Linked DNA regions of Tamandua tetradactyla. The protein of the gene in region 2 purifies or fractionates together with the protein of the main gene of each other region. This does not show direct contact. Links are inferred from orthologs where the notes say so. Each region holds a gene or a part of one and is shown on either strand. Other genes may lie near its edges.

Evidence for each region.
Region 1: the proteins of RMND5A (region 2) and RANBP10 purify together in Homo sapiens (affinity purification with mass spectrometry; 4 studies listed by BioGRID and IntAct, counting the BioPlex papers as one, with this or other methods). This does not show direct contact. The link is inferred for Tamandua tetradactyla from reciprocal best matches to the Homo sapiens genes RMND5A and RANBP10.
Region 3: the proteins of RMND5A (region 2) and RANBP9 purify together in Homo sapiens (affinity purification with mass spectrometry; 9 studies listed by BioGRID and IntAct, counting the BioPlex papers as one, with this or other methods). This does not show direct contact. The link is inferred for Tamandua tetradactyla from reciprocal best matches to the Homo sapiens genes RMND5A and RANBP9.
Region 4: the proteins of RMND5A (region 2) and GID4 purify together in Homo sapiens (affinity purification with mass spectrometry; 4 studies listed by BioGRID and IntAct, counting the BioPlex papers as one, with this or other methods). This does not show direct contact. The link is inferred for Tamandua tetradactyla from reciprocal best matches to the Homo sapiens genes RMND5A and GID4.

Annotation. Positions count from the first base shown.
Region 1 is NC_135342.1:61,645,804-61,653,730, reverse strand, and holds the start of RANBP10 (ran-binding protein 10), read left to right. Parts: upstream 1-4,921; 5' UTR 4,922-5,185; coding exon 5,186-5,420; intron 5,421-6,300; coding exon 6,301-6,412; intron 6,413-7,927. Other genes in the region: TSNAXIP1 (translin-associated factor X-interacting protein 1), read right to left, coding at 2,310-2,409, 4,527-4,573. UniProt on the Homo sapiens protein: May act as an adapter protein to couple membrane receptors to intracellular signaling pathways.
Region 2 is NC_135343.1:60,346,562-60,353,928, forward strand, and holds the start of RMND5A (E3 ubiquitin-protein transferase RMND5A), read right to left. Parts: upstream 3,004-7,367; 5' UTR 2,953-3,003; coding exon 2,811-2,952; intron 1-2,810.
Region 3 is NC_135351.1:16,820,120-16,827,477, forward strand, and holds the start of RANBP9 (ran-binding protein 9), read right to left. Parts: upstream 3,007-7,358; 5' UTR 2,904-3,006; coding exon 2,366-2,903; intron 1-2,365. UniProt on the Homo sapiens protein: May act as scaffolding protein, and as adapter protein to couple membrane receptors to intracellular signaling pathways. Acts as a mediator of cell spreading and actin cytoskeleton rearrangement.
Region 4 is NC_135332.1:1,681,677-1,689,334, forward strand, and holds the start of GID4 (glucose-induced degradation protein 4 homolog), read left to right. Parts: upstream 1-4,652; 5' UTR 4,653-4,729; coding exon 4,730-4,918; intron 4,919-7,658. Other genes in the region: ATPAF2 (ATP synthase mitochondrial F1 complex assembly factor 2), read right to left, coding at 3,893-4,025.

The DNA.
Region 1 (7,927 bases), on a different chromosome or scaffold from region 2:
TAGCTGCATTATTTACAATTGCCAAAAAATGGAAGCAACCCAAGTATCCATTAACTGATGAATAGGTAAACAAAATGTGGTATATACACATAATGGAATATTATTCAGCCATAAAAAGGAATGAAGTTCTAATACAAGCAACAACATCGATGAACCTTGAAGACATTATGTTAAATGAAATAAGCCAGACACAAATGGACAAATATTGTCTGATCTCACTGATATGAAATATTAGAATCAGTAAATTCATAGTAAAAAATTAGAATATATGTTACCAGGGGCTGGGGGTGGCAGTAGGGAATGCGGACTTAATGCTTAAATTGTACACAGTTTATATTTGGGATGATGAAAAATTTTTGATAACGTATGGTGGATATGGTAGCACAACATTGTGAACATAATTAGCAGCACTGAAATATATATTTGAATGTGATTAAAAGGGGAAATTTTAGGTTGTTTATATGTCACTAGAATAAAAATTTTAAATACATATATATCCATAGGACTGTGCAACAAAAACAGTGACTCCTAAAGTATGGACTATAGTTAATAGTACAATTATAAAAATATTCTTCATTAATTGCAGCAAAGTCACCACATTAATGCAAAAGTGTGGGATAATATTTGAGAAGCCAATTTTATGCATGATTTTTTTCTGTAAACCTATGACTTCAATAAATAAGTAAAAGGAAAAAAATTGTTTGGGACACGGCTAGAGCAAACTTACAAGGTATTTATTATTTATTTATTTGTTTGTTTATTTATTTATTTTTGCATGGGCAGGCACGGGGACACAAGGCATTTATTTTAATTGCGTGAAATACTTTCACTATCGAATAGGAAATCCTTAAGGGACTGTACCTCTGGTTGCCTGAAAAGGAAAAAAACTAGTAATCAAAAGGAAAGCAATAAAATTACAAACAGGAGATAAAAGTAGAAATAGGCAAATTTGGAAAAATTAAAAGTCAAATTGTTAAAAATTAAGCTAGAAAAAGTTTTTTTGAACGACTCAAAATTGATGAAATTTTTATAAAAGTGCAAAGTAACCATACATTACGCCAGAAATTGTCAAGAACAATTCCTGATAAATTGCCTGATAAATTAGTTCTTCAGACTTTCAAAAGGTCAATTCTCGTGTCCTGTTTGTGGGTTCTGTCAGATTGAAACGCGGTCGCCATACTTTGACTGCGGAGGGGAAGGGAAATTGGAGAACCAGCGGCCGCACAGTCTGCCCTGGGACTCCATGTTTTCAGCTTCCCTGGCGGGCACTGGAGAACGATGAGGGGGAATAGCGCCCCCTGGCGGTTGAGGACGGCGTCGCAGCTGCAGTGCGGAAGAAGGGCAAAAGGGCCGGGTCCCAAGTCGAGTAGGTGGCAGGCGAGTGGGGGCCGATAGGGTGGGCACTGGCCCCAAGTCATCAGGTCTTGCAGGGCCATGGCTTAACATGGTCTCTGCAAAGAATCCACATTGCCCTCCTTTCCCTCCTTGGAGTTGGGGGTCCTCCTGTTGGGAGTCCCCAGACTAGAAAATTTTGTGTTCCATGTGTTCTCAAATTCTGCACACAGGACACGTTTACAAAAGAAAACGCACACAGCTCATGGTGCTCCACTGTGAGCTGGAGTTATAAGTTTGCATGTATCTATAGATAGATATAATACATAATCTGTGAGATTTGCGCAATGGTTATTTACTGGTTAAATAATAACAATCCTATAGTCATATTAACAAAAGGTTTTTAATAAGACAGTATTAACTTTTATACAAAAATCTTGAAGAACAGGATTTTTTTCCTGAGGCTGGAAAAGAATCTCTATTTCCAAACCTGATCCAACAGCATTATAGAAAAACATCCCTTTACTCCTGCCTTCACATATCCACCCACAAACATTTATGAAGCTCTCATCATACACCAGTCTCTCAAGTACCTATTCAGGAACTGGAGCCATTAAGTTAAAAAGATACTGTTACCAAAAAAAAAAAAAAAAAACAAAAGACAAAAAACCATCAGAACCTTGAAGGCTGAGCAGCCCTGATGTGAACAACCCTGTACCTACTACAGTGCCTGGCTCAGGGCAGGCTGAATGAAGAATGGTGAGCTGCAGAGGGAGGGGGTGTACGGGCAGGGGCTGAGTTCTGGGGAGCCTTAGAGGAGTACAGACAGTATACACTCCCTTATCCCCAGAGCCATATTCCCCAACTCAGGAGAGGTAGTTCTGGTAGAGATCTTTCAGATCGGTGGTGCTTTTGGGTCTGAGAGGAGGAGGTCTATAGGCTGACATCTGGGGTTCTAATTGGGCATCATCACTCACCAGTGTCTTCCGTTTCTGAGAAAGCTTGCGTTTCTGGACACTCTTGGCTTCTGGGACAAAAGAGTCATCTATGATCACTCCTGAAGACCGTAGGTATGTTCTGCACAGAGAAAGGGAAGCTAGTGGTGGGTGAAAGACCCTGAACAGGCAGAACTCCTCCCCCTGGATCCAAAGGACACAGCCTCCTCTCCCCCACAGAAGCAGGCCCTGGGCCTTCCCAGTGTTGTCAAGCAAGCTCTTGGGCCTGGGCACAAACCATTTTCCTGCCTCCCCAGAGACTTTCTCAATGCCAGAGACTCACCAACTCCTGCAACAGCAGGATACCCTTACCATGAGTCCAGAGAACCCGGTAGGCCTACACTTATAGTCAGTATTCAGCTATGGCTGCAATGACAGTTTAATGTACGTGACTGCCACACTCTGGTGGGTATGGTACCAAAGACAGGGTGCTATAGGGCAAGAACACCAGGGTTTGGGGTCCAAGAACCAGGTGCCAGTCTTGTATGTGCCACTTATCAAACTGATAGGGCCTAGGGGCTGACATCTGGGTTTCCCAACATGATTCCCTTAGGCAAGGCATTTAACTTCTCTCATCCTCAGTTCTCTCACAAAAAATGGAGGTAATTCTTGCTTTGCCCATCTCACAGAGTTGTTAAGAAGTTTAAATTCACGATCAAAGATTCCTTTTAGCGGGTCTCTCTTTTTTTTTTTTAATAGTTTTATTGAGATAAGCTTCTAAGCTTCATGTACTATATAGTCCAAACAAAGTATACAATCAATGGCTCACAATGTCACCACATAGTTTGTATATACATCATCACGATCATTTTTAGAACATTGCATCACTTCAGAAAAAGAAATAAAAAGACAAAAGAAAAATCCCATATATCCCATACCTTTTACCCCTACCTCTCATTGGCCACTAGTATTGATTTTTGCTTTACTCCTTATCCCCCTTATTATTTATTTATTTTTTGTTATTTTTTAACTCATCTGTCCATATTAGCAGTAAATTATCGATATGTTCTACAGTGCTAAGGCTCTGTCCTGTTCTTCATCCTGGCTTTGCTCTAATGGTAGAAAAACAGTAGGCCTGGCACAATGTAAGTGAACAGTAAATACTGGTGAATGAAGAAAACAGACAGGAACAAGTGATGTTTTGTACTGCCACCAAATTTAGCCCTAGCAATTACATTGTACTTCCTTCTCAAAATAGATGGGGATTTTTTTTTCTGAGTCTGTTTCAAATCCCTGCCAAACATGACTACAGTTTTCCTAAATCATTCTTGTGCTGGGTAACAATACTCTTTCTCAAACTTGCTGCCTGGTTCTTGTAGAGTCATTTTAGCTCCAGATAAAAGAATCAAAATAGTCTTTAACTCCTTTTTCTAGGGGGACACTTGCAGGCTTTCTCTGTCAAGGTTTCAGGTCCTGAAGGATTAGAGGAGGTAAGATTTGGTATTTCGCTTTGGGAATGAGTAGATAGGGGAAACTACACTCATTTAGCACTTACTAAGTGCACATTATATGCAAGAGCTATGACGGGAGCTTCACATTTTCTGCTTAAATGTTCCCAGTCTGGTGAGGTGGGGTACATCATCCCCATATTTAAGATGTAGAAACCGAGGCCTGGTACTTTAAGAACTTAATGACTTAAAGCTAAAAAAGTATTTAGCCCAAATTTTGTTCTAATACAGATTTTTTGTGGCCTTCCTGGCCCACGGGATTTGTCATTACATTTTGTAGGGTCCAGAGGCTGCATCCATGAATCCAGGCAGAGTGGGTGTGGGATGTGCCTGGGCTGCTTAGAGTTAGCCAGCACCCACATATAAAGCAGTGAGTGAAGAGGCAGTTTAGCTCCATAGCTAGGAGTTCAGGTTCTGCAGTTTGACATAATTTGGGCTCAAATCCTAGCTCCATTACTTAGCATATTCAAAACATGATCTCTCTATATAAAACTCTTAACGCATAACATATGCTCGATATAAGCTGGCTGTTACCACTAGTGATAAACTGCGTCTGCCCTTTTGCTAGAACGTAACGTCCTTCCTGGGTTGACCAGCCCGGATTCTATTTCTGCACTTCCGCGCCTTTGGGACTGGAGTCCCAGGGCACCAGAAAGAGGCCAGCAGGAGTGCAGAGGTCTGGGTCAGGTGCCGCTTCCCTCGCCAGAAATATTTAAGCCCTTTTTCCGCCCTTGGTTCGGCCAGCGCCTACCTCGGTAAGGGCATGAAGCTGGAGCGCTGCGGCGGCGAGCAGGCCATGACCCTCCGGCTGCAGAGCAGCCAGCACCCAGGGATTGAGAAACTTCGGTAGTGTACAGCCCGTCTCCATGGTGACCAGACCCCAGCGGCTCGGCGGTGGGGGGCGGGGCCAGGGCTGTGCCACGCCCCCGAGCTCAGCGTTCGCGGGCTGGGTGGAAGACCAAGAAACAAAGATAGACTAAGGCCCAGGAGCGGGGTCCTCTCGGAATCAGTCACTACAGAGGACTTGACCCTAGCTAACAGAACTGAGGCGGGGGGATAAATAGCTGCTAGAGGGGCGGGAGGTTCATTAAGAGGCCTAAGGCGCTTTGCCAGCGGGAATTGTAGTTTTTAGTGTCCTCAAGTCTCGGTTGGACAGATTCATGGCTGAGCAGGTATAGACTTCATCTCCCAAAGGTCACAAGCAGTCCGAGTTGGGCCGCCCCTAGAGAGCTCTGCATTGTGGGATATGGAGTACAAAATGTACCGAGGTGTGCCAGTGTCCGAAGAGAGGTGCGGACTCGGACTCGGTTTCCCTGCGGTCCCAGCAGGCTCGCTGGTCATTGGCTGAGCGGGGAGGATCTGGTCTGGCTCCTCCCCGCCCCCAGTGACACAATAGCAGCTCCCTCCAAGATGGCGGCGGCGGCGGCGGACCCGGGAGCTGGGAACCCGCAGGCTGGAGACTCCTCTGGCGGGAGCACGGGGAGCGGGTTACCGTCCCCGGGGGAGCAAGAGCTGAGCCAGCGCCTGCAGCGCTTGTACCCTGCTGTCAATCAGCACGAGACGCCGCTGCCGCGCTCCTGGAGCCCCAAGGACAAGTACAACTACATCGGCCTCTCCCAGGGCAACCTCCGCGTCCACTACAAAGGTATTGGCTAGTTTGACCGTAGTGGGGAAAGACTGGAGCATCTGCGGGGCGGCTATGCTTCTCGACCTCTGCCGGGTCAGGGCCCTTCCCCGGCCCTCGTGCTCTGGGTTAGGCCTTAGCCCAGCGGGGTGTCCAGGGTGGTCTAGCTGACCAGGCCGAAGGCTCACTGCCCGCTTTGCTCTGCCCTTAGAAACCCGAGGTCCAGAGAAGTGCAACAGGTGTCCAGACCCATTGCTGGGCAGGAATTTCCACCCGAAGCCTTCCCTACTTGTCCTGGGATGGCTCCAACTCCAGCTGGGCCCTTCACCACCCTTTAGTTTTACTTATATCTAAAGAAAAGGGTGGTCATAACCCCACCATCAGCCAGGGGCCCATGGGTTTGCTTTTCTGCCAGACATTCCATACTGAGCCAGGGATTCTGCACTAACCTTTAGCATTGGTTTTCCAGTGCCTCCTTCTACTGGGCTCCCTCCAATGTGGGCTGCCCAGTTCTTGAGAGACTGGTAGCAGCTCAGGGGACTTTCACATAGGTACCCATACTCTCTGCACCGTTTTTTTTCTGTATGGGAAACATTGTCTCAGGCAGGACTGCTATTCTCAGGAGGAGGTGAGCCAAAGGTAGGTGGTTTACATGGTTGCTTAGTTGTCTCTAATTTTCCCTTGAATGGTGCGAGGGCTTTCTCTGACCACTGAGAGGTAAGTTTTTTTTTTTTAATTTGTTTTTAGTTTTTATTAAAGAGATTGTGGGTTTACAGAACAATCATACATAAAATACAGGAGATGAGCTTTTGAGCTCTGCTGAAGTTGCCAAGGAACAAAGAAGAATGAAGCTTCCATTTGCATCTTCTGCTGAAATTTCTTTCCTCCTCTCTCCTATTAGGTCATGGCAAAAATCACAAAGATGCAGCCTCAGTGCGCGCCACCCACCCCATACCTGCTGCCTGTGGCATTTATTACTTCGAGGTGAAGATTGTCAGCAAAGGAAGAGATGGGTAAGCCTGGTTAGCACTGTCTTTCCCCTACGTTGACCTGTGCCCTGTGGTCAGAGTTGGACCACTTATGGTGTCTGATAGGAACTTCTGGGCTGCAGAGGATGGAATAGTGGACTGTTTCAATTCCCTGGCTGTAGGCATAGCTTGGTCTAAGAAGCATATCTTGATGACAAGTAGGTTAGTTGGAGGTGGAGAGGATTGCTTTTTATTGATGATGTCATGAGATACTTCACAGGTCACGGAAACAAATAACAAGCATACATTAACAACTCAGTGTCCTGATTGGGGTTTTCCCCTTCAGTTAGGTGTTTGTGACTTCCCTCCTTTCATGGCCTTGGCACATTCAAGATTTTTATGGCATTTAGTCATGCAGTGGCCTCAGTAGGCTTCAAAGGAATAGTAGAGTCTTTGCAGCATTCATCAAAGCTGTGGCAGCCTCTGGCCTGTCATCTCAGGGTAAACAGCATACACATGGTCAGAGTCAGGTGACTTTGCTGCCCATAAACTTGTTTTTCAATCCAGGGACTTGAGTACCAGTTGTACCAGCTTTAGAAGGTCCTCATTAAAGTCAGCATTAGGAGGACTCCCTATTTGAGGGTGATCTAAACAGACACAGGAAATCAGAGGAAATATTGGAGGGATATTCTTCATTTCTCTTTTTCTTCTTCTCCCTTTTTTTTTTTTTTTTTTTACAGTGAATGTACCAAGTAGGTGCTTATGAAATAATATGATTGTGGCTACCTTGGAAAGGTTTTCCATCAGGTCTGGTAGGGGAAATTTACCAACCTTACCAGTGATTTTTGTGTCAACCTTGAGTGTGTATTCTTGAGCATTCAAAATACTTCCTCTCTTCTAGGTACTGTTCCTCTTGTAGCATATGCAGAATGCCCAGCCAAGGGGTTGTGCTAGAGCAGGACTGCCAGAGTCAGAGCTCTGCCTGCTTCCTCAGTGATGTCGAATTTGGCTGTGGCCTTTTGTGGGTCTTGGAGCTTCATTTATTTGTCTGGACTGTGGGAAGTTAGTCCAGCATTTTAGCTTCCTTTAACCACAGAGTTCTGTGATTCTGATTCTGATGAAGGGAAGCTATAGCATCTTTCATTTTTATCCCCATCTAGTACATTTACAGATAGGAAATTTATATTGTTAGAAGGCTTTAATACCCCCACTTTCTCTTCCCACCGTCTGTTAAAACACATATATTGGATGTGCTTCAACTAGTATGAATCAGATGGCCTCCTAAAACAAAACAAACCAATATCTCCCCAAGATGGTTACAGTGTAGAATAAAATGTTGGTATTGGAATTACCATCTTGCCAAAGAAACTGAGGGGCATTTCTTAAACTCTTGGGGAGAGAAATGGATTGTTTCTCTGTAGTCTTTATCATACATAACAGCTGAGCTCTTGAGAAAAGAGGGCAGCTTTTCAGAAGGGAAATCTTCAAACCTAGAGATCTGGATTCCTTCCACTGACTTAATATTTCAGTTTTAAGTGACTTTTACTGGAAAAGGCCCTG
Region 2 (7,367 bases):
TTCCCTGGACTCTAGTTAAAGAGCTCTTCTGAAACAGGCAGTCTCTCCAGCATGATGCAACGTTGTGTCCAATAGGGACCTTGAGGCACCTAAAAGTCCCCAAGATTCTACTTTATTCATATCACATTCTTGCAAGAGTATTACCACACATAAGCCCAGGCTCCAAAGCCATAACAGAGTCCCAACTGGAGTCTCTCTCGGTTCACAGAAGCTAATCAGATCACTTGCCCAAGACTGGTACACTCCGAAGCTCTCAACATTCTCCTTTGAAATGGAGTTCCACATTCAGTTCTCAATAGATATATCTCTGAGAAGGGTATATTTCAGATTCAATATAATAGTTTAACTATACTGAAAATTTGAAAGTATTTCAAACCAAAAAGTTTTTTTAAAAGATTCAATGTAGTATCTACCATATCACCTGCAGAGAACTTTAATTTAGAAAGCATCTGCTTTGAAAAAACCATAACCCATATACCAAACTTGATGTTTGTCTTCATACATAAAAGATATCAAAAGAAAAAAGAGAGATTTTATTTTGGACTCTCAACCTGGCACTTCTGGTATTATTTTTTTATTTTTTATTTTATTTGCATGGGAGGCACCAAGATATGAACCTGGGTCTCTGGCATGGCAGGCGAGAACTATGCCTGCTGAGCCACCATGGACAGCCCTCTGGTATTTACTTTTGTTTCCTGTTTTATAACTGCCTTTAGTCACTTGATCCTATCATTAAAGAATTAAAGGAAAACAGAGGGATACCAATATAAGACTTTCCGTTTTGGTAGACAATAAAAAATAAGAGTTTGAAAAGGGAACTCACACCAAGTCAGACTGGTTTAACATCATGGCATACTGTGTGGGTATGACCCCCGGGACCATATATTCATAAAAAAGTTCCTTGAAACTGAGCAAAGAGACCTAAGGTGAAACCTGCTTTGGCAATTCCTCACAATTACTTAATCCATCTGGGATTGCCCCCAAATCCCCTAAAACAAAGCTAACAGTCACACCTCCTTGGATAAATACACTCTGCCTTAGGAAAGAAAGGTCCATCTTCTCCTTCTCAAACCCTCCCTATACAATCTTTTGATCTGAGACCCTGAACCTAAAATGGAAATGTTGCTTCCATCTCCCCAAGTGTAGGCCTTTCATTCTCTTCCTATACTAGTTCCTTCCATTTAGCCTTTAATAAGGCAAAGATTTCATCTCTGGCTCCAAACTGGGGAGGGGGCCAGGAGGAAGAAGACACCTTCCTCCCTCAGGCTGTATGTGAGTAGCCTTGGGTCTCCTTACACCCAGTGTGCATCATATTTTTCTCCTTAACTCCTAATAATCTGGCCTGTCTTAAACCTATGGAACTGCAAGCAGAGTCACTGACTCCCACTAGCCAAAGAGCTGCTGGCCAAACTTTCTTTTCCTAAGTCTTTGCCTGTCCTTTTCAGTTTTGGCTGGCTCCTTCTTTGCCCTACACTCTCAAAGGGAGGTTCAAGGTTGTGGTTCGACCCCACAATCTTTTGTCTCCTACACCTGAGTGTGATCTCCACCTACCTCTGTAAAAATAACAAACAGTCGTAGATCTTTTCTCCCAAACTCCACCTATGCATCTCCAGCTGCTAATAAATATTAAACCCTTGACTCTTATCTTTGTTAAGCCATTCAGCTCCGTCTCACATTTCCAAAGCCAAGAGCCTTACCAGGATTCTCACCCACTCCACCTCCACTTCCCCATTGCTACCAATTATATCATCACCTGCTAAAACAATCAAACCACCCTTCCCTGGCAGCCTCGGAGGTCTGCTGGTTTTTCCACATTAATATTTCAACTCTTATTCTCTCTAATCCCACCGCCACAATGGTTTGCTTCCTTCCCTGCAGTTCAAAAGTATTGTCAGGATGGATTGAATAATATGTGAATAAAACTGTTAAAAAAAGAAAAAGTACGTCCACAACAAGATGTTGTCCTAAGACTCCCTTACCATGGACTGGCACTTACCCTCAACCCAAACACAGTGGGGGTTCATGGGGGATGGGATGTGTGAATTAAGGTGTAGAAGATGAAGGGGGCAAAGGAGAGCGAAGCTTGAAGAGTGTCACTTCCCTCACGTCAACTGTCCCAAGCATCAGCATTTCTCCCCAGCCACCAACCCCCCATTTACATAAGCTTCCCTTCACAGATCACAAGTTGAAAAAGCACCCCCAGCCTCTCAAATAAACCAATTAAGTAAAAAGATTTATTCTTGACCAGAAACCATCATTGCTGTGACTATTTTAAGGCAAGAACACCAGACCTTCCACGTTATATATTAAAACCAAACCAAACCAAACCAAACCAGAACCTTTCCCAACCAGCTTCCACAAATTAACTTCGGCAAATAAATCCGTCCCCAGGGCCTGGGAAAGTGGTGAAATAATATCATAGGTAAAACACCTTCCCCAGAAAACCTGTTTTTTAGAAGGAAACAAGTAAAAACTTGACCCGGTGAGTAGAGGCACGAAACAACTCGCTTCCCACTCAGTCTCCTTACAGGCTCCTCTAGGGGAACGGAATAGTTGGATCCCGGTTCCCCGGGAGCCGGTTCAGAGCTTCTCCCCGGCAGTGGGCTCTTGGGACTGCGGGGACTGCCACCGTGGGCCGCACTCGAGGCTTTCGGCACAGCGTATGCAAAGGTGAGGACCACCTTCTTGGGCTCCGCGCGCTACCCGCAGGCTGCCGGCACTCCGGGGCCAACCGGGGGACGAGGGACGGTCCCGCTACGCCGGGACCCGCCGAGAGGTAGGGGCAACTGGGGGAGGCCGGGCCGCCCTACCGTGGCTCTGCAGGATCTCGCGCCGGAGGCCGCCGGCGTAGTCGATGAGCTCCTCCAGGCCGCGCTCGCAAAGCTGCCCATAGCCCGAGAACTTGTGCAGCACCTTCTCCAGCTCGCGCTCCACCGTCACGCACTGGTCCATGCCGGCGCTCTGCGGCCCGAGCCCGGCCGAGGCCGCGTCTCGCTCCTCGTCCCCAAGGCGCGCGGCGGCTGCGGCGGTGGCGGGAGCGACAGGCGCGCTAGCCACGGCGCCGGGGCAGCCCTGACCGGCCCGTGCCCGCCCGCGCCATGGCGCTCGGCCCCCCTCGTCCCTGGCCCGGCCCGCCGCGCTCTGCTGTCCCCGCGGCGCCGCGGATTGTTTTTGTTTTCCCGGGAGCGTCCGATGACCTGGATCTCCCGGGCGGCACCAAGCGCGGCCGGACCGAGGGGCGCAGCCGCTCGGAGGAGGCGACGCGGGCCGAACCAAGCACACGCTTGCGGGGGAGTGAGGAATTCGGACGCGCTGCCGCTCTAAAGGTGTGCGGTCCCCCGCGCGGAGGGCGTGGAAGGGAGCGGGCAGGGGCGGGGCTAGGGCCCGATTGGCTCGAGCCGCGAAACAGGGTGCTCTAGGGACCGCCCCCGTGCTCCGTAAACAGGGGCGGCCTGGGGCCTGGCCACGCCCCCGAAGTCGCGAATGGGCGCGGGGAGCGCGTCAGGAACTAACGCCCGCCAATTCCTGGCCGAGGCTCACACGTTAGCCAATCCGTACTGAGGGGCCAAACCAACGGTCTCGCTGTTGGAGGGGGTGCCACGGATGCGTCCTGAGGCTAGCCGTTTTTGAGAAGCCTTGGGGGGCGGGGGGAGGAGAGAGCGGGAAGCAAGACAAGTAAGAAGGTTCATTTCCACAGGACTTTCTGCTAAACACACCTTTAACTATCCGCGTCGGTCCCAAGGGGAAGAGACATCGTAGTCCGGAAGTTCTGGCAGACGGGCCAGCTGCCCACGCGGAAAGCCAGGCCGGTCGAGGATGCAAATGGCAGGGAAAGGCGACCGTCGCCCCGTAGGCCCCTGACACCCCCTGGCCAACGGCTAGGAGCGAGGAAGCCACCGCCGAGGAGGGGCGCCTTCCCCTGATGCAGTGTGCGGCGGGCTGCGCGGGCTAGTTCATCCCCCCGCCCCTGGCTCTCGCCCCTCGGCCGCGCCCCGCCTTGCGTTCCCAGCGCGGGCCCGCAGCGTCCCCTTGGATTCTGGGCCTGGAACACTCTCCTGCCATTCTTGTCCTCGGACGAGATTGCTGCTCAGATTCAAGATGGTATTTTTCTCATCTTCTCACTACTCATCAAAATCTGAAAGGAGCCTGTTCAAGTATTTCTTTACTTTTACGTCTCCCCGCAACGGCAGGCACCTTGCCTGGCTTTTTCTTTGCCTGGGACCCTGCCTGGCAACGTGGTAGGCCATCCCACCCCCTTTCTGTTTAAACTGAGGTGATAACATTTTTTAAGCCTCAGTTTCCTCTTTTTCTAATTTGGAAACATTAGTACCTACTTCACTAGATTGTTAGGAAGATGAAGCGAGATGGTGCACATAAATGCCCATAATAGGCCACAGGACAAATGGCTACGGTGATTGCTATTGTCAGTTCCCAGGAAGAAATATTAGATGGCAACGCAAAAGTTGCAGAAGCTGTGATCCAGCACCCAGTCCTTTCGTTCATTTCTTGGTACTTCTCAAGGGCAGTCTGAAGGGTTGCTGTTACAAATTTCCTTTTTCTTCCCCTCTCTCCCCATAACTTTCGCCTCTCTTTCTTGGCAGACAGCCCAATCCAGCTTCACTGAAAAAGATAATGACCATTTACTGCCAGCACTGTCTACCGTGCTCCTCAAAGCAGTTCTGTCCTTAGAGTCCATGTTGTGAACCTCTTGGGCCCAGAGGAACGGGAGTCCCTTCTTTTGGGGCATGCTGGCTTCCTCTTCTCCCTCCCCATATCTTCCTCCCTTCCCTCTGCATGGAGTTCTTTCTTTTTTCTGCATTCAGGTTGAATATAACTGACCTACCTGGGGTGAGGAGTGGGACCGAGAGAACTTCAATTAATCCTTTTGCATTTTCAAGCTGGTTTCCCTTTTCCTTTCAGTCCTTTCATTGCCAAACTACCTAGACAAAGCCTCTACCCTTGTTCTTCCCTTTTCTCCAAAGATCTCCCTAAATAAGCTCAATCACCCTCTTCTCTGTTTTTTCACTTTTATCTCACTACAGCGTATGAAATTCTGATATCTTCACATATTAATTCTCCCTTGACCACGAGGGCATTGCTCTAGTCGGGTTCAGTCACCCCTTCTCCCTTGCTAGTCCTTCTCAGTTAGCCTTCTGGGTGTGTGGGCATTCACTCAGGATTCTACCCTCAGCCTTCTCTTCTCCTTTTACCTTCTATCCCAGGAGAATGCTCTACACTGGGCCTTTCAACAGTTAGTTACCTCTGTGGATAACTTCTTTCTCCATCTGTTATCTGCCTCATAAACTCTAGCCACACATTTTCCTCAGTTAGCAAGACATCATCCAGGAGACCCATGATTACTTCCAATCGACATGTCAAAACCATTTTGCCCTCCCCAAATTAACGTCACCACCACCACCACCCCTGGACTCCGAAGTTTTTGCTGGCATTACCTTACCTCTCCCAGGTTCCTCTGCCTCTTCTCTATCTTGGTCTTTAACATACCTGTAGGATTCTTGAAAACCTTTTCTTCATCAATTCCCCCAACTTCACTAATCTGGTTCTTTTGCCATTCATCTAGGTCCTTCTCAAGATCCATTTGCTAAGACTTCTGTCTTCATTCAGCCCAGAATCATTAATGACCCCCAGGATTTTGTCCTCATTAGGGATACAGATTATCTCCTTTTTTTCATTCACCCTCTATATATAGTGCAAATTGCCCCATTTTGTTTTCTTTTGTTTGAGAAGTGGGTTTACAGAAAAGTCATGCATAAAATACAGGAGTCCAATATACCATCCTATTATTAACATCTCATCTTGGTGTGATATGTCTGTTACAATTAATGAAAGCATATTTTTATAATTGTGCTATTAACTATAGTCCATTGTTTTAACTTAGAGGTCACTGTGTTGTACTGTTCCAGGGAATTTTTTAAATTTTTTATTATGGTACCATATATACAACCTTATAGTTCCTTTTTAACCATATTCAGTTATATATTTCTGTGCTATTAGTTAATGTTCATATGTTGTGCTATCATCACCACCATCCATTACCAAAACATTTCCATCATTCCAAATAGGAACTCTGTACAGTTTAAGCCTTAATTCCCTATGCCTGCCCCATTCCCTCATAACTATGTTCTAGATCCTGACTGTGAATTTGCCTTATTTCATATCAGTGAGACCAAACAATATTCGACCTTTCCATCTGGCTTATTTCATTCAACATGATGTCTTCGTAGTTCATCTGTTTTGTCACATGTATCACAATTCCGTTTTTTTTAGAGCTGAATAATACAGTAAGACCTCGTCTTATGCGACCAATACCTTCCAGACCCTTTGCATTAGTTAAAAATTTGCAAATTGAAAATCATGCATAATAGCAAACCTCATTTTTTAACAGGTGTTCCTTATACAAACATACTTATCATACATTTTTTAATACGTAAGGCAAACACTCCAGCAACAATAAACAGTTAATCATAGAAATAATTTTTTTAAATATTAATTCTCACTCTCTGCCTTTATTTTTTTCGATTGCCAGTCACCTACACCTAAATTCATGTGTGTTGAGTTTGTGTAAAACAAGGTCCTACTGTATTCCATTGTGTGTATATACCACATTTTGTTTATCCAACTCAACTAGATTTTTAGCTCCCAGTTCAGGACCAACTTATTTTGCTTCTTTTTCTCTCCCATGATTTAATCAACATAGGAAAAGTGCTAAAGAAAAGAATAAATAAGAGAAGAAAAGGCTGCAAATTTAGCCAAGAAGAGAGAGAAAAATAACATATATAAAGGCAGAGCTTTTATGTCCCCTCATTTTTACTGGCCTTTCCTACCCAGTGCATAATTGCTGTAAGTCTAAACTTGTCTCCTCAGAAAAGGGTGTTTAGAAACAAGAGAGAAACTCAGTTTGCAGGACAACTGCAAATTAATTTGGATAATTGCATTTCCACGACACAACAAAAAAGAACTACCACACATGCGCAAAACAAAAAAACTCACTGCAGAATGAAATGGACTTCTGCCCCAAGTCTGTTCAATTTGGAAAATCTTTAATTTGCAGTCATTCTAGACTTTGCTCTTGTCCTTGCCTCCACCCCAAATTTGATTCTCTGTGACATTACTCAAAAAAATGTTTGAGTAAACATTACTAAAAAAAGAGGGAAAAAAAAGCTTTTTGTCTTTGTGATAAAAAAGTATACATTGTAGAAAAACTAGAAAATACAAATAAATGAAAGAAATAAGAATCCTTTGAAATCACCCAGAAAAATAAATCAGTTTTAACATTCAGGCTGAATGTCCAGAGTTTTTTTTGTGTGTGCATACATATACCTGCATATGTGCACTTTTTCAAAAGA
Region 3 (7,358 bases), on a different chromosome or scaffold from region 2:
AAAATAGTAAGTGAACAGTGGATTTTAAGGCTAGAGGTCATACAATGCTTAGGTAAAATCAGAAGCAGCACAACAGTCTAAATAAAACTCACTCTTCTTATTTTGTGACTTCAAAGTTTTATTTCCTATTTCCACAACGGTTCTCCTTTGCTCCCTTACTTTGCTACTGTGACACAGTTGCCCCATTCTGCACGGTTCACTCAAAAGGAAGGCACACACGACAACACACACACAAACACACAAGTAAGAGGAAGAGGCAGAAGGGGAAAAGAGAGTGACTTTATAACAAGGGAAAAGAGAGAGAGACAAAGGATGGAAAAGAGGGAGAGAAAAGAAAGGAAAAAAGGATGAACGAGTACTATCTATTCTTCCAAAAATAATGATTTATGTTTATTTAAAATGGTGATGGTTCTAGAAAGTGAATCTTACTATTACACAACAGAACATAATAAAGAGGTTAACAAAAAAAAATTGAGACAGCAGTGGCATAAATGTTCAGAACTCCAACTAATTTCACATAACTATGCTCTTACCTCTGCCCCAACTAATCAATTTTGTGTAAAAGGAGTTAGTAAAACTAATCGAGGCATGTTACAGTATTAAATAAACTGTAATTGTGAATCTTAGATATCATGGAAATTCAGAGCTGGAAATTTCCTTACCAACCATTCAGCTCAAGTCCCTCATCACTCAGGAAGAAACTCAAGCCCTGTCTTGTGACATGTCTAAAATCACAAATGATTGCAGGACTCCGGAGGGCCTAGGATTCTTTGTTCAATAACCTTATGTATTATTCTGCCTGATATTTTATAAGCTAATTATTCACCATCAATCACAGATTTAAAATGATAAAAAGTTTCATCAAATTCAACAAAAGCTTTCCAGCAGCCAGATTGGAAGTAAACACTTTGTAACACAGTACTGTTCAAGCAAATTAAAAAACAAATTAAATAACAGCTTTCACAGGGTATAAACAAAACATCCTAACCTAATAATAAACAAAGGTCCAAAACTAAGTCATTTTGATTAAGTAACATAACATTTAAAATGTAAAGTTATTTCTCTGGAACTGTGGCAAGGATAAAAGGAATATTCAACAAGGCCTGTTTTTGTGCATGATTCTTTGGAGACAACTTATTTAGATTTCTGTTGCCATTTTCCTTTCAGATTAAATAGTAACTTCTTTATCAAGGTTCTCAAATTTCAGTCTTTAGTACAGTTTAAGAATTTAACCAGACATTGTTTTTACCCTCTATATTCATGTCACTCTGATCTGATTAAGAACCGCCCCCCCCCCCCCCCCGTAACCAATCAAAATGAAGCTGCTTTGAATGCAAAAGCTACTGCTTCAGGTCTGGGGCCTAAAAAACTGGATGTTTCTAGACAGACCAGCACATTAGATCGATTTTTTTTTTCTTTTCCGGACAAGTAAACTTGACACGTGACATTAATTAGCGATATATTTCAAAACTTGCTATAGCAGTTTATAATGTTATATACAACAGACATGTGTAAAGCTTTGTTTTAATGTAACGGAAGATAGGTGAGGGAGAGGAGGGAGACAAGCACAAGCCTAAAGTGGCTGATTGTTTTTTTAATGCAGGTATAAAATGAGTCCTTTTTTCAAAAAATTTTAAATAATGGAAAAAACCAAAGCCTTGTTTTCAACAAGACTTCACGCAACACCAGAACGTAAATCCAGGGCATTTCCAATCAGCAGTGGTAGGTTTCTGCTCCCCGAAGAAAACGCGTACTCCTGTAGTTTCACCTCTTCCCCTTCCCCAGTTGTTTTTAGTAAGATACGTTGACGCAAACTTGGGCCGGTTGTCCTTTGGTCCCCCTAGACGATCTCTGGCCTAATTTCGGGCCACATCCTCCGCTGATCATTCCTCCCCCCGTATACCCCTGCTCTCCTTTAATTAGAAATCATACCCCAGATCGCGCCGCTCCCCCTACGTAAGAAGAGAACGCCTGACCCGTCACCTGGAGAACAATGTAACCCAACTCCGAGCCCATAGATTCCTCAATCCGAGCCCTAAGATTTATCTTACAGCGAAGAAAGCGAGTTCCGTCCTGTCATCCTGGATTCACTCAACGTATCCTACTCTCGGCCTAGGATTACCAGCTCCATCAGACCCAGGAGCATTATCCACTCACCTTCCGCCGCCACGACTCTCCCTCACCCTCGGACCTCTCACCGGGACCCCTCCCCACCCCCGGAGCTGCAGGACGAGCTGCAGGACGAGCTGCAGGAGGAGCGGCGAGAGGCACCTCCGAGGGACCCGGGACCCGGAGGGAGGGCGGCGGGGGCGGGTCGAGAGCCGGGTCAGCGCCCCGCTCCCACCGCGGCGCACACGCCCCGTACCTTTGTAGTGTACCCGCAGGTTGTTCTGAGAGAGGCCGATGTAGCTGAACTTGTCCTTCGGGCTCCAGGACCGCGGCAGCGGCGTCTCCTGCTCGTCCACGGCCGGGTAGAGGCGCTTCAGCCGCCGCTGCAGCTCCTTCTCCTGCTCGTTCAGGGCCGAGTCCCCGTGCGGGAAGGGGGCCGCGGCGCTACTGCCCGCCACCAGGCCCGGGGCCGAGGCGGGGCCCGCGGGGAGGCCGGGGGGCGCGGGGTGTGCGGGGGCGGCCGCCGAGGAGGGAGGCGGCGGCGGCGGCGGAGGAGGGGCCGCGGTGGCCGGGGGCGGCGGCGGCGGCGGGTGGAGGAGCAGGGCGGCCGCCGCGGCCCCCAAGCCGCTGCCCGCGCCTCCGCCGGGAGAGCCCGCCGGAGAGGAGCCGGCGCTGACGGCCGCGGGCGCCGGCAGGACCACCCCAGACACCGGGGCCACGGCCGCGGGCGGCGGCGGCGGCAGCTGCTGTGGTTGCTGCTGCTGCTGCGGCGGCGGCTGCTGCTGCCCGGACATCCCGGCCGCGACTCGGCCAGCGGCCACCTCCGCCTCTTCTCTCCTTCCTCCTGCGCTTCCCGGGGGCGCTGTCGCGGCGGCCGCCGGCACCAGGCGCCCACTCGCCCGCCCCGGAAGCAGGCGGCCGGGCCGCGCGCCGAGCAGAGCGCGACGGTTGAGGGCTTGGAGACCGGGACGGGCTGGGGGCCCGGGGCGGCCCCGACAGAACGTTGAAGGGAGCTCGGACGCGCGGCCCTGGGACGAAGCGCGGAGGCTGGAGACGACGTGGGAGCGCAGGCCGAGGACGCGCGCTGGGGCCGCCGGACCGCTGCTCTCGCGGCTGTTTCGCGGCGGGCGGGCGGGCGCGAGACGCTGCGCGCGGGCGGCGCCAGGCGAGGGGGCGGGGACGGAGGGCGCCGGGCGGGGGGCGGGCCGCGGGGTTCCGGGCGAGCGCGCGCAGGCGCAGGAGGCTGTGTGGAATCCGCGTGCGTGCGGTGGGGCGCTCGGCCCAGGCGGCGCGGCGTCCTCCCGGGGCCTCCTTGCGAGGGTTCCCGCCAGCCCCCGCCGGACCGTCCGGCCCTCCTCGCGGCGAGTCTCCTCCTACTTTACTTCTTTTTGTTGTCGTCGCCCCACCTCCCCCGTGGGTTACCGCTGGAGCGGCGACGACAGCTCCCGCCCAGACAAGAGTAATCGAGCTCCGCTGGGCCCGCCGCGAGGCGGACCGCGGGCACCCCCGGAACGCTCGGGTTCGGGGCGTCCGATGGGGTCCTCGAGGCTAGCAGCCTGGAGGGAAGGGGGGTGGGGGGTCCGGTTTCCCGCCTCCCGCTTGGAGGACGCACTGCTTTCCTCTTGCTGCTTTTCATACTTCACGGAATTTAAAACCTTCACATTTACCATATGGGGAGTGGAAACCATTTCTGAAGGCAAATTCTTCCACTTAAATTAGTATTTCATTAATTAACTTAACGAGGACTTAAAGTGGACTTTAGTGGTAGGTATCACATTATGAAAACTCATAAAGACTGGCAAATCTTCAAAGAGCGGGAACATGAACTGATTGAATACACGGGTATAGTGTGTATTTAGGAGGGACTTCTGCAGACGTCAGAGCGTTTTATAGACTCGTTAATTTCATAACAAGCCTCTTTGTTAGGTAGCAAAAGATTCTTCCCATTTTTCAGACAAGGAAATATTCACCGAGGTCAGCACAGTAAAAAAAATACGACTTCCTACTTTGCAATTCCCCGTAGAGTGCTTCGTGGACAAATTTGACACAACTTGGAGTGTTTCCTTCTGACCCATCCAAGTTACTGTGTTGTTTTCACTACTTTCTTTCGTATATAACGTTTTCCTTTCCTAGCCGGTAAAATCTGGCCTTACACGTGTAAACTACATGGTGGAACTACATGATATAAACGCCGACATTTTGTTTGCTTCCAAAGATGTTATAATGGTAATTAGTCCAATAAGCAAAGAAAAGTTTTTGCTGAATGGAGAATTATTTTCTCTTGAAGAGGGTAGGTAAATGGTGATTTAATTGTAGGCCCTGAATCTCTGGCTGGAGCTAATAACAAAGTCAGCCTAATTTCTCCCTCAATTACCCAACCTGATAATCTGTTGTTCCTTAATAAAAATATCACATTGTTCTAACTTGTTCAATGACTTTTTCAAGTCAGTGCGCTTTGCCACATGATTTCATTGTATTTAAATTGTTTTGAAACTCTCATTTCTTTTACAATAACATTGAGTTAAATATAAGCCAAGTGCTATGTAAGTGCAGTAAGGCCTTGGGAGACTAGATGGACTCCAAGCCTCATCAAACTTTCTTGAAATAGTCATCAAGGTTTATTTATGAAAAGGTACTTTTTTTCCTGTCACCACACTTGGAAACCATTTAGAACTTTACATGTCCTAAGAATGGTTGAGGGAACAGAATTGTCTGACATTTAGTTGAAAGTTTTTATCAGAGGGACTGGTTACAGTCCAAACAAGCAACCTCCAAAACTTAATGATTTCTGTTATGGAGGAGGATGCTGGGAAATGAGCACCTTCTTATACAAAGGTGGCAGAGAACACTGATAATGTTTTATAATGCCACATATGTGGTGATGTTTATAAAGAATTATCAAGATGTTTATGCCTTTTGTATTCGTTAGGGTTCTCTAGGGAAATAGAACCAACAGGATATTTGTGTATATATATAATAAATATTATGAGATTTATTATGGGAATTGCCTTACAGGACTGTGGGGATGCAAGTCCAAATTGCATGGGGCAGGCTGCAAGCTGGAAATTCTGATAAAGGTTTCCATGAATTCCCCAGAAGAAGCTGCCTGACTGAACTAAAGATGGAAATTCTTTCTGACTGCTGATATCAGTTTTCCCTTTAAGTTCGTCAGCTGATTGGATGAGTTCTCTCATTGCTGAAGGCAATCTCCTTTGCTGATTGTAGATGGAATCAGCCATAGATGCGATCAACCGACTGATAATTTAAGTCCACGAAATACCTTCACAGTAATTATCAGGCCGGCTTGCTTTACCAAACAACTGGACATCCTAAGCTACCCAAGTTGACACATGAACTTAACCATCACAATTTATATATTCAAAAAATCACAACTCAAAAAAAAAAAAAACTACAATGTGGAAGAAATTTAGGCCCCAAAATATCAACAAGAAGTAATAAATAGGTTGAAATACAAAAGTAAAATTAATGTTCAACATGAAGGAAGCTGTAAATTATCGTATATGTACAATAATTTCGTATATGTCAAAATTGAAGACTGTAGGAGTACATAAACCCATTTGTGTTAGTTTTTTACAAGACATCCCTTCTGGGAAGTGGAATTGCCAAAAGAAGGTGAACAATTACAAAAAGGCACCCCTTCCTCTTGACTTAGTGGATCTCAGCTGGAATTTTAACCTCTCTCCATCCAGGTCCCCTTGCACAAATATTACTAGGCCTCATAAAAAATGTGGTTTAGAAGGCATGGAAAATGATTATGAGATGCTAGATGATAAAAAGGCTAAATGATCTTTTTTTGGTAATTTTTTAAGTACCAAAAAACACCAAACAAACGCAAACATTCTTAACTCTTGATCATTCTATTCTACATATAGAATCAGTAATTCATAATATCATCACATAGTTGCATATTCATCATCATGATCATTTCTTGGAACTAAATGATCATTTTAACACTGCCAAAGTAGTTGTTTAAAGAGACATGAAGGGACATCATATAATGTTTCTGTATGGGCCCCTGGATCAGATAAATCCTAAAATACAGAGGGCCCAGCCTCTCCAGAACATCAGCTAGTTCCATCCCCCATCCCACATTATTGACAGCCCTTTCCAACATGAAAAAGTCAGAATAGGCGTAATCCAACCACCACCTACAGAGTGAGAAAAAGATCAAAAGTGATGGTGGAGTTATACAGAGAAGGTAGAGTTTAACACAAATGAGTATGATTGCTGAATCAGTATATTGATATTTCTTTTAGTCTCCAGGGTGTTGGAGCAGCTAGTACTAAAAACCTAAAATTGTGGAATTATAACCCATACCAAACTCTGAAATCTGTTCTACAACTAATTATTGTGCTGTGCTGTGAAATTTATTGCTTTTTTATATGTTATTTTTCACAAAAAAGAAAACAATACATAATGTACTTAGTGTTCAAAAAAATAAATTTTAAAAATGTTTCTATAACGGACAATTATAACGTATAAGTAAAAGTACATTTTTAATGAAAACTTTAGAACTGTCCATAGAACTATAAATAGCCAAAATCCATTCGCCATAAGCTGAGTTTATCTACATTCTTCCTGAACCTATATTTTCAGTTCTTACCATATATTGCCATAATATTGATAAGTATCTGTGTCTGTTGGGTTTCTCGGTAACAATAGAAGTTAACTGGGCTCTCTTAAGCAGAGAAGGAACTAATTGGAAAGATATTGAATGGTTCTCAGAATTGACCAGAAGCCTGGACAACCAGGCCTAAAATAGACAAAGACCAAAGGAGGGCAGGCCGCATAAGTAGACTATCCACAGTGTCCACTGCCGGGTGCCACCTTCACCACTGTTCTAGTTTTCTAGCTGCTGCAAAATATACCAGAAACGGAATGGCTTTTAAAAGGGGGAATTTAATAAGTTGCTAGTTTACAGTTCTAAGGCCAAGAAAATGTCCCAATTAAAACAAGTCTAGGAAATGTCCAATCTAAGGCATCCAGTGAAAGATACCTAGGTTCAAGAAGGCCAGTGACATTCAGGGTTTCTCTCTTGGCTGGAAGGGTATATGGTGAAGTCTGCTAGCTTTCTCTTCCAACTTCTTTTTCATGAAGCTCCTCCAGAGGCATTTTCCTTCTTCATTTCCAAAAGTTGCTGGCTGGTGGACTCTCTGTTTTGTGGTTCTGCAGCATTGTGCTGTGGCTTTCTCGTCATTCTCAAAAGGCATTCTCTCCAAAAATGTCTC
Region 4 (7,658 bases), on a different chromosome or scaffold from region 2:
TAAAAATAAATTCCTGAAATAAAAAATTTGAATATTTTCCTGAAATAAGGAAAATATTTATTAACATAGTTCATTACTATAGCAATGCAGATATTTGTAAGAACTGTCTACTTGATATTTTTGAGAATATTCAGTTTTGACAGCTGATCAAATGGTATCTTAGTTTTTAATACTTAGAATTTAAGAACTTCGCTATCCAAATATGTAGAATTTTTCCTTGTTGCCTTAACTTTTAATTGGTTTATGAAATTTACTGCAAACACAGGCTTTACAATGATTATATGGATATTTTATTTAATTATGCCTATGGTTAAGCTAACTAATATCTATTTTTGGCGGTTCTAAGTGTATTGCTTGTTTTCTTAAATAAAAACATATTTAAAAAAAGTTATTACCAAACAGCTGTGGTAAAATGTGTAGGTATTCATGATATGTGATAATAGCTAATACAATATTTTATTGAGAATAACACATGCCAAGCATTTTACATTTATTACCTCATTAACTTTTATGACAACTTTATGAGAAAAGCCCTACTTTCTCCCCATTTTATAGAGAAGCAAACTGAACTTACTAAATACAAACACTGATCGTTTGTCAAGGCTAGGATTTGTACTTCAGATTGTTCTTAACTGACCACACACACCACACTGGGAATCTTAAACATTTTAAAAAAAACTTCTATTAACTTACAAAAGGTGTGAGAAAGTTCTGTATGCTATTATTTGAAGTACTTCCCTAAATATCTTTCCTACAATAAGCAGATCTAGCGCAGCTACTGCCAATAATTGAATATTAAATCCGGCATTGCTTTCAACCATAAAATCAAAGGATCTTTTAAATCTAGAAATACGCACAAACAGTATAAGAGTAAACTCACAGGGACTGGCTGAAAAAGAAAAAAAAAAAAAGGTAGCCTAGGAATTGGGGAGAGTTAGTACTGAGCTGACTCAAATTCTTATGTTAATAAACATTAGAGAACTATCTACCTGATCACAAGACTTCAAATTTGTAAAACAAAATGAGGGGGTACATGTAGAGCTCGTTATGCGTTATCATGAGGCTTTAGTTATAAGGTAAAGATTATTTAGTTATACAACAAAGTATCACCATCAAAGATCAAGGCACCTGGGTTACAGTTCAGGGAGTTTCAGTAGTTACAGTATTTATTTTTGGATGTTCTACAATATATTAGAAAATAAGAAAGCATCTATATAACGATTCAGTAACCACAGTCATTTGTTAACTCTTAAATCTTGGTTATAGGTATATATTACCTGAGAGAAATGTATACCTGTAACATGTTCTCACAAAAGCATATACACAAATGTGCATAGACGACTTAGTCACAATAGCCAAAAGTTGTAAACAATCCATGTGTCCATCTGGTTTATACATACAAAAGATAATTATTTAGCCATAAAAAGTAAGGAGTATGTGCTACATGGATGGACCTCGAAAACATTATGCTAAGTGAAAAGCTGAAACTTACGCTAAGTGAAATAAATCAGTTATAAAAGGACACATACTGTATGATTCTATTTATATGAAATGTCATGAATAGGCAAATCCATAGGGAAAGAAAAAGGGTTGGCAGTTATCTAGGGCTGGAGAAAGGGGGGATTTGGGACAACATCCAAAGGATACAGGGTTTCTTGGGTGGGGGGTTGATGAAAACATTCGAAAATTATGGTGATGGCTGCATAATTCTGTGAATACACTAAAACCCACTAAATTGTCTACTTTCAATGGGGATATTACATGGTCCATCAATTATATCACAATAAAGCTGTTAGAAAAAAATTCTTCAGGCCACATGTATTTGTGCAGCAATTAATGTAAATGGGCTAAATGACTAAACACACTCTATTTTCCAAATGGTTCTTGCATCTACCGCTGGGATTGGCAAACTTGTTTCTGTAAACAGCCAGACAGTAAATATTTCAGGCGTTTCAGGCTATCCCATCTGCTGCAACTACTCAACTCCACTGTGGTGGTGAAAGCGGCTACAGACCATCTAAACAAATGAGGGTGGTTATGTTTCAATAAAACTTCATTGAAAAAAAACAGGCTGCAGGGCTGAACCCCTTATCTCCAGGATGTCCCTCAATCCACACAACCACTCTACGAGAAAGGCAGGAACAGGTCTTGCCTCTGAGGCCCAAGACACAGCTAAATGACTTGTTCAGGTGACAGCCAGGCCGTAAGTGGTGAAAAACAGCCTGGACTGCACCGCGTCTGCACTCAGCACTCCTGAACGCCTCCCACCCAAGCAGTCAAGGGTATTTGCCAGGCCACAAGCATCCTCAAGTAGGTCTCCTCTCCAACATCTCAATGGCTCTTGCCAAAATGCCCCCTCTCCTTTGGAAAACCTCCAGCGACAAGCCCAGTCCTCAGGGGCCAAGCTCAATCTCCTTGCCAGTCGAAGCCTTCATCGAGAAGCAGAGACTCTCCCATCCGGTAAGGTCTTTGCAGAGCATGCAGCGGCCTGATACTAGGCACCCCTCTCCCACACTACCTCATTCATTCATTCAATTTTTTTTCCACATATGACCACCTCCCATGCGCCAGGTACTGCCAAAAGCCTCCACGACTGTGTCTGCAGCGGAAAGGAAAAGGAGAGAGCAGATCAGTTGCCACCGTGATGGAACGTGAGCAGTTACTAACCAACACGAACTCCCGGCTTTTGTCAACTTGAGAAACTCCGGCTTGTGTCCCCTTTGCTCATGCTGTGCCTCTCTGGGATGCCCTTCCTCCTTCCTGTTTACTGCTTCTCATGGGCCACTCCAGGCCCATGAGATACATGGATGAAGCCTCCACTCCCTGCTACATCCAATCCCCTCCCCCATTTGGATAAAATTCTTTTACCTAGGAGCCAAAAGGGTCCAGAGAAAACTAAGTCCTTTAACTTAAAGAGGAAGATGAGCCCCAAAGAGAGCAGTCACATGCCCAAGATCACACAGCACTCCAGCATTAGAACCAGACTTACATTCCTGCCACAGTGCCTCAAACTGCCTGGGGTGGTTTGGATTTCTGAGAGCAGGTTGTGACAGCAAGGTCCCTCACACCAGGCTCACTGTCACCTCTGGACGTGTTCTAGCTACCTAACACTCTTCCTCCTCCTCTTCACCCAACTCCTACTCATCCATCAAGGCCCAACTTTAATGCCCTATTACTCACGACTCTTTCTAGATCCTGAGCACCCCCAACATGGGAATCAGGGCGTCTCTGTGTTGTCGCAGCTTCTTTGTATTATAACTTCCTATTTAATCAGAACAGTATAATCTTCTGCACTTGACAATGAACATTCTCAAGGTGGACCACACCTGTCTTGAAACCACTGCACACCCTACCTCCGGCATAAAGCAACTAAGGGAAGGGAAGGAGAGTGTCACTACTCTTTATTCACTAAAATGAGATCCTCCCACCCAAAAACCTCTCCCCAGCAGGAGGGAAAGGGCCAAACCGTTCTTCAAGGCCTCACTCATCAAGGGCGGAGGGGGAAAGTGTCGGTATGTGTGTGTGTGTGGGGGGGGGGGGCCAGGCAGGCCAACCTTTGCCCTCCACGACCTCTCTAAGTCTGCAGCGTGACCCTGGTGAAGTCCCGATTCAGAACCCGAATCTCTCCGTCCGAAACCTGGGATCACACCAGCTTGCGCTGCTAAGGAGACGAAAGCCGTGAGCTTTGAGAAAAAACGCCCGGGCCGAGCGGCAATGACCGTCTAGGGCTGACACACCCGGGCGCCCTCCGGCCCGCTCTGCCCTAGTCTGGGCTTCGCTTTCCGGGTCTGCACAGGACCCTACCTGGGTACCCACCCTGCATGGCTGAACTCCTCAGCCCACCTTAGCCCGGCTCGGGCCCTGGCCAAAACGGAACGGACCCTGGCCTCACCTGTCGGGGGCGCGTAGGCCCGGGCCGGAGGCAAATGGTTTGGCCCCGACCCCAGGGAGGCCGCGAGGCCACGCGGGGGCCCGCTCAGGAGGCGGCGCCCCCAGCCCCGCAGCCGGAGGCAGCTCCGCCACATGGCTCCCGAGGGCCTGGGGCGACGCGCGGCGCGAAGCCGGAGAGCAGGAAACACCGAGCGAAGGAATCCCCGAATCGCGCCGTCGGGCCGTACGAGAACTCCCCTCGCAGCCTCCACGGATTCCTCAGCGTCCCCGGGACGCCGTCACCTTCCGCGTGACGCCAACGGCGCGCCGACGCTCCCGCGCGCCTCCGGCGCACGCCCCCCGTCAATCAGCATCACAAACGCGCCTGGCCCCGCCCCACCACGCCGCGCCTCGGCAGGAAGACTACAAGTCCCAGAGGGCCGCTCGCGCACCCTGCCACGTGTTTCCTCCGCCCGCCAATGGGCGGGAGCGCCGGCTGAGCCTGTTCCTGCCCCCCGGCGCGCCCGCACCAATCGGAAGGACTGGTGTGAGTGAGTGAGAGTGTGTGTGTGTGTGTGTGTGTGTGTGTGTGTGTGTGTCTGTGTGTATGTGTGTGTGTGTGCGAGGGCAAGTGAGGAGGGGATCCAGCGCCGGACGGGGAGGCCCAGCTCGCAGATCCCGGGGTCCCGGGGCTGCCGGAGCGTTGGTCCGCAGGCAGTGGGCGGGTGACCCCTCCCCACCCGCCCCCGCCGCGCGCGTGCGCGCCCCGCCCCGCCCTCCCCGCCGCGCTCCTCGGCTCCCGCGCGGCGGCGGCCGTTCCTCTCCCCTCCCCCCAGCCCTGGCTCCCGGGGACCCCGCGATGCCGGTCCGCACCGAGTGCCCCCCGCCGGCCGGTGCCGCGGCCGCCTCGGCGGCCTCGCTTATCCCGCCGCCGCCCATCAACACGCAGCAGCCTGGCGTGGCCACCAGCCTGCTCTACAGCGGCTCCAAGTTCCGCGGCCACCAGAAGAGCAAGGGGAACTCGTACGACGTGGAGGTGGTGCTGCAGGTGAGCGCCGGGCCGGCTGGCCGGGCCCGAGGGCCTCCTCGCGGCGTTCACGGGCCGGAGCCGGGCCCCGGGGCCTCGAGCCCGCGGCCGCCGACCAGGCCGGGCCGCCGGGGCCTGCTGCACCCGCCGCAGCTCACCCGGGACCGGCCCCGCTGGCGCCTCAAACTCCGCGAGCCGCGGCCCGACCTGTCCCCGCGGGCCCGGGGCTTCCGCGACCGGCTCCCGGCACTCCCTGAGCCTTCCGCCGGACCTGGCTCCCCGGCACCCGACCCCCACGGGATCCGGAGCCCCCCCATGACTGCCCCACTCCGGCCTGGCCGCTCCTTCTTCTTGACTTGTCTCCTCTGGAGTAGCCCCTGCCCATCCCTCTCGGGGGTCCCCCCACAGGCTAGGCCCATGCCAGATTCTCCCAGACTTGAAACAGGCCCCCCTTCTCAGTCCCAGGGATCCCCCAAGATCAGGGCAGCCCCCCCTCGAAAAAGTGTGGTCAGCCCTCCTACCTGGGAGTCCCTTCATTCCGTTAGCTCCCAGGAGTCCCCACCCACAGCTGAGTCCCCAGACCGTGCCCCCCTCCCCTCAAGACCAGCCCCTCGCACCCTGGGAGCCGCCCAGTGGGGCTCCTCACAGCCTGTTAGCATCTTGCCTCTTGCGTCCCCCGCGGTACCACCCACAGTTCCAGCCTCTGCATGCTCCCAGCACCCGGCTCCTCGCAGCTGCCCCCACCCCCAGGCCTCCTGTCCTAGGGTTCGCCCACTCCCTGCCCCCCCTGCTCTGGCTACTTCCAGTGTCCCAGGGCTCTCCCCCCAGACCTCCCCACCCCATACCTTCATCTTCCTCATTCCTTGCTCCAGGGAGCCCTCTTTTCTGTGTTCTTAACTTTTATCTGCACCGGCACAGGGCTTCCTCCTAGTCTCTGATACCCGCGGGCTGGGAAATCCAACTCACCCAGTTCTGTGTCTCACATGGATATTTCCTTTCTGTGTCCATCCACCTCCCCCTACCTGACCTGGATCTCGAGTACCTGCTGCCAGGCCGGACCAGGCTTTGGGGCTACAATGCCACCTGCCCTGGCCCGTCCAGCACCTCTCCCCTCCCACACAAGCGGTAGCACACATGACATTTTTCCCCAGCCCAAGGAGGTTGGTGGTGTGAATACCCCTTTTTATCTTTCCTCCCCACAAAACCATTTTTCCTCCATGCCTGCTCCTGCCTACCTTGAAACCCACTTTTCTCCCTCCCTCTGCCCCTTTTTCCTTAGCCAGACGCCCCACCTCCTAGGCTGTTCCCCCAAAGCCTCTCCAAACAGTGGTCCTCCCTGGAAATCCTACAGAGAGTTTCATAGTCCACGTGTGAAGCCTGACAGCTTCTGTGTGCAGGGAGAGAATAGAGGACGTGTCCCCTCCTTGCAGCCCTCCTCAGTCTTCTTTTATTTTAAATCCTAAACCGCTTCTCTTCTGAACAGACAGGTCTCCCAGCAAAGTCAGTGGGGGGACGTTTTTCTTCCTGCTAACTGTAGCTCTTTTATCACTTTCCATTTCACACTGTTCCATGGAAATAAGTAACTTTCTTCTCTTTTTTTTGGACCAGGAGGACTGCATCCTCATGTTAATTCTATCTTGGTCTGTAAACTCCAGGCTCTAACGTGAGCTGTGATCTCATTGTAATTGAGAAACTACTGGGCTGAGGTAGTTCAGTTCTTCAAAATGATATGTCTAATGCAGTGATTCCCCTTTGCTTTCGCTTGATATGTGAAATGTAGTGTGAAGGTGAGGGCTTTATCTTTTTGCAGCTAAACATGAAATCCTGGAAGTGAGATCCCTGTTTGGACCACATTTGGGATGAGCTTGAATTTGTGTGCTTTTTTAATTGGATGGTTTCCAGTGCTGTAGGGACAACCAGTGGGGTAGGTAGCTAAGTGTCAGAGGAGGGTCTGCCCGGCAGCCTGCAGGAACTGCTCTCGTCTGTCGTTAATGTATAATATTCCTGAACTCACGTCAAGTGCCAAGTTTCCCTTGAGCCAAGTTGAAGGTGTGACTGAGCTGCTGAGTTTGTAGAATCTGATGTTTGGAGAAACTTCTGCACTGCTGATAGGTCTCAGGACAGCCCAGAGGAAAAGCCTGGCCAAGTGCTAGAAGCCGCATGAGTGGGGTGGCTGATGGGGGCGGAGAGACAGTCATGCCAAGGAATGCCGCCCTCCATCCGGCTTCAGCGGCTGCTTGGTCACCCCAGGGACTCATCAGCGGCACGGGAATTGCTCCATCATCTGGTTTTTCAGCCAGGACTAGTTTCTTCGACTCAGCCTTCTTAGACTACTTCTGCCTTTTGTAAGGCAGCCACTTTCTTTCCCTTCCTTTCTTCCTTCTTTTCTTCCTTTTCACAGCTTTATTGAGATAGAATCCACATACCATACAATCCATCCATTTGAAGTGTACAATTCAGTGGTTTTAAGTATTTTCACCGAGTTGTGCAGCCATCACTGCAATCTAATTTTAGCACATTTTCATCATCCTGAAGGAAGCCTTATGCCCCTTAGCTTTCACCCCCCAACTCCAGCTACCACTAATCTACTTTTTGTATTTTAGATTCGCCTATTCAGGACATTTTTTAAAAGCAGAATTATACAATATGTGGTCTTTTATGACTGGCTTCTTTCACTTAGCATCAGTATTTGATTCCTTGGCCAAATGATAGCTGTTGTATGGCTGGACCTCAGTATTTGTCTCTTCATCAGAAATGGTCA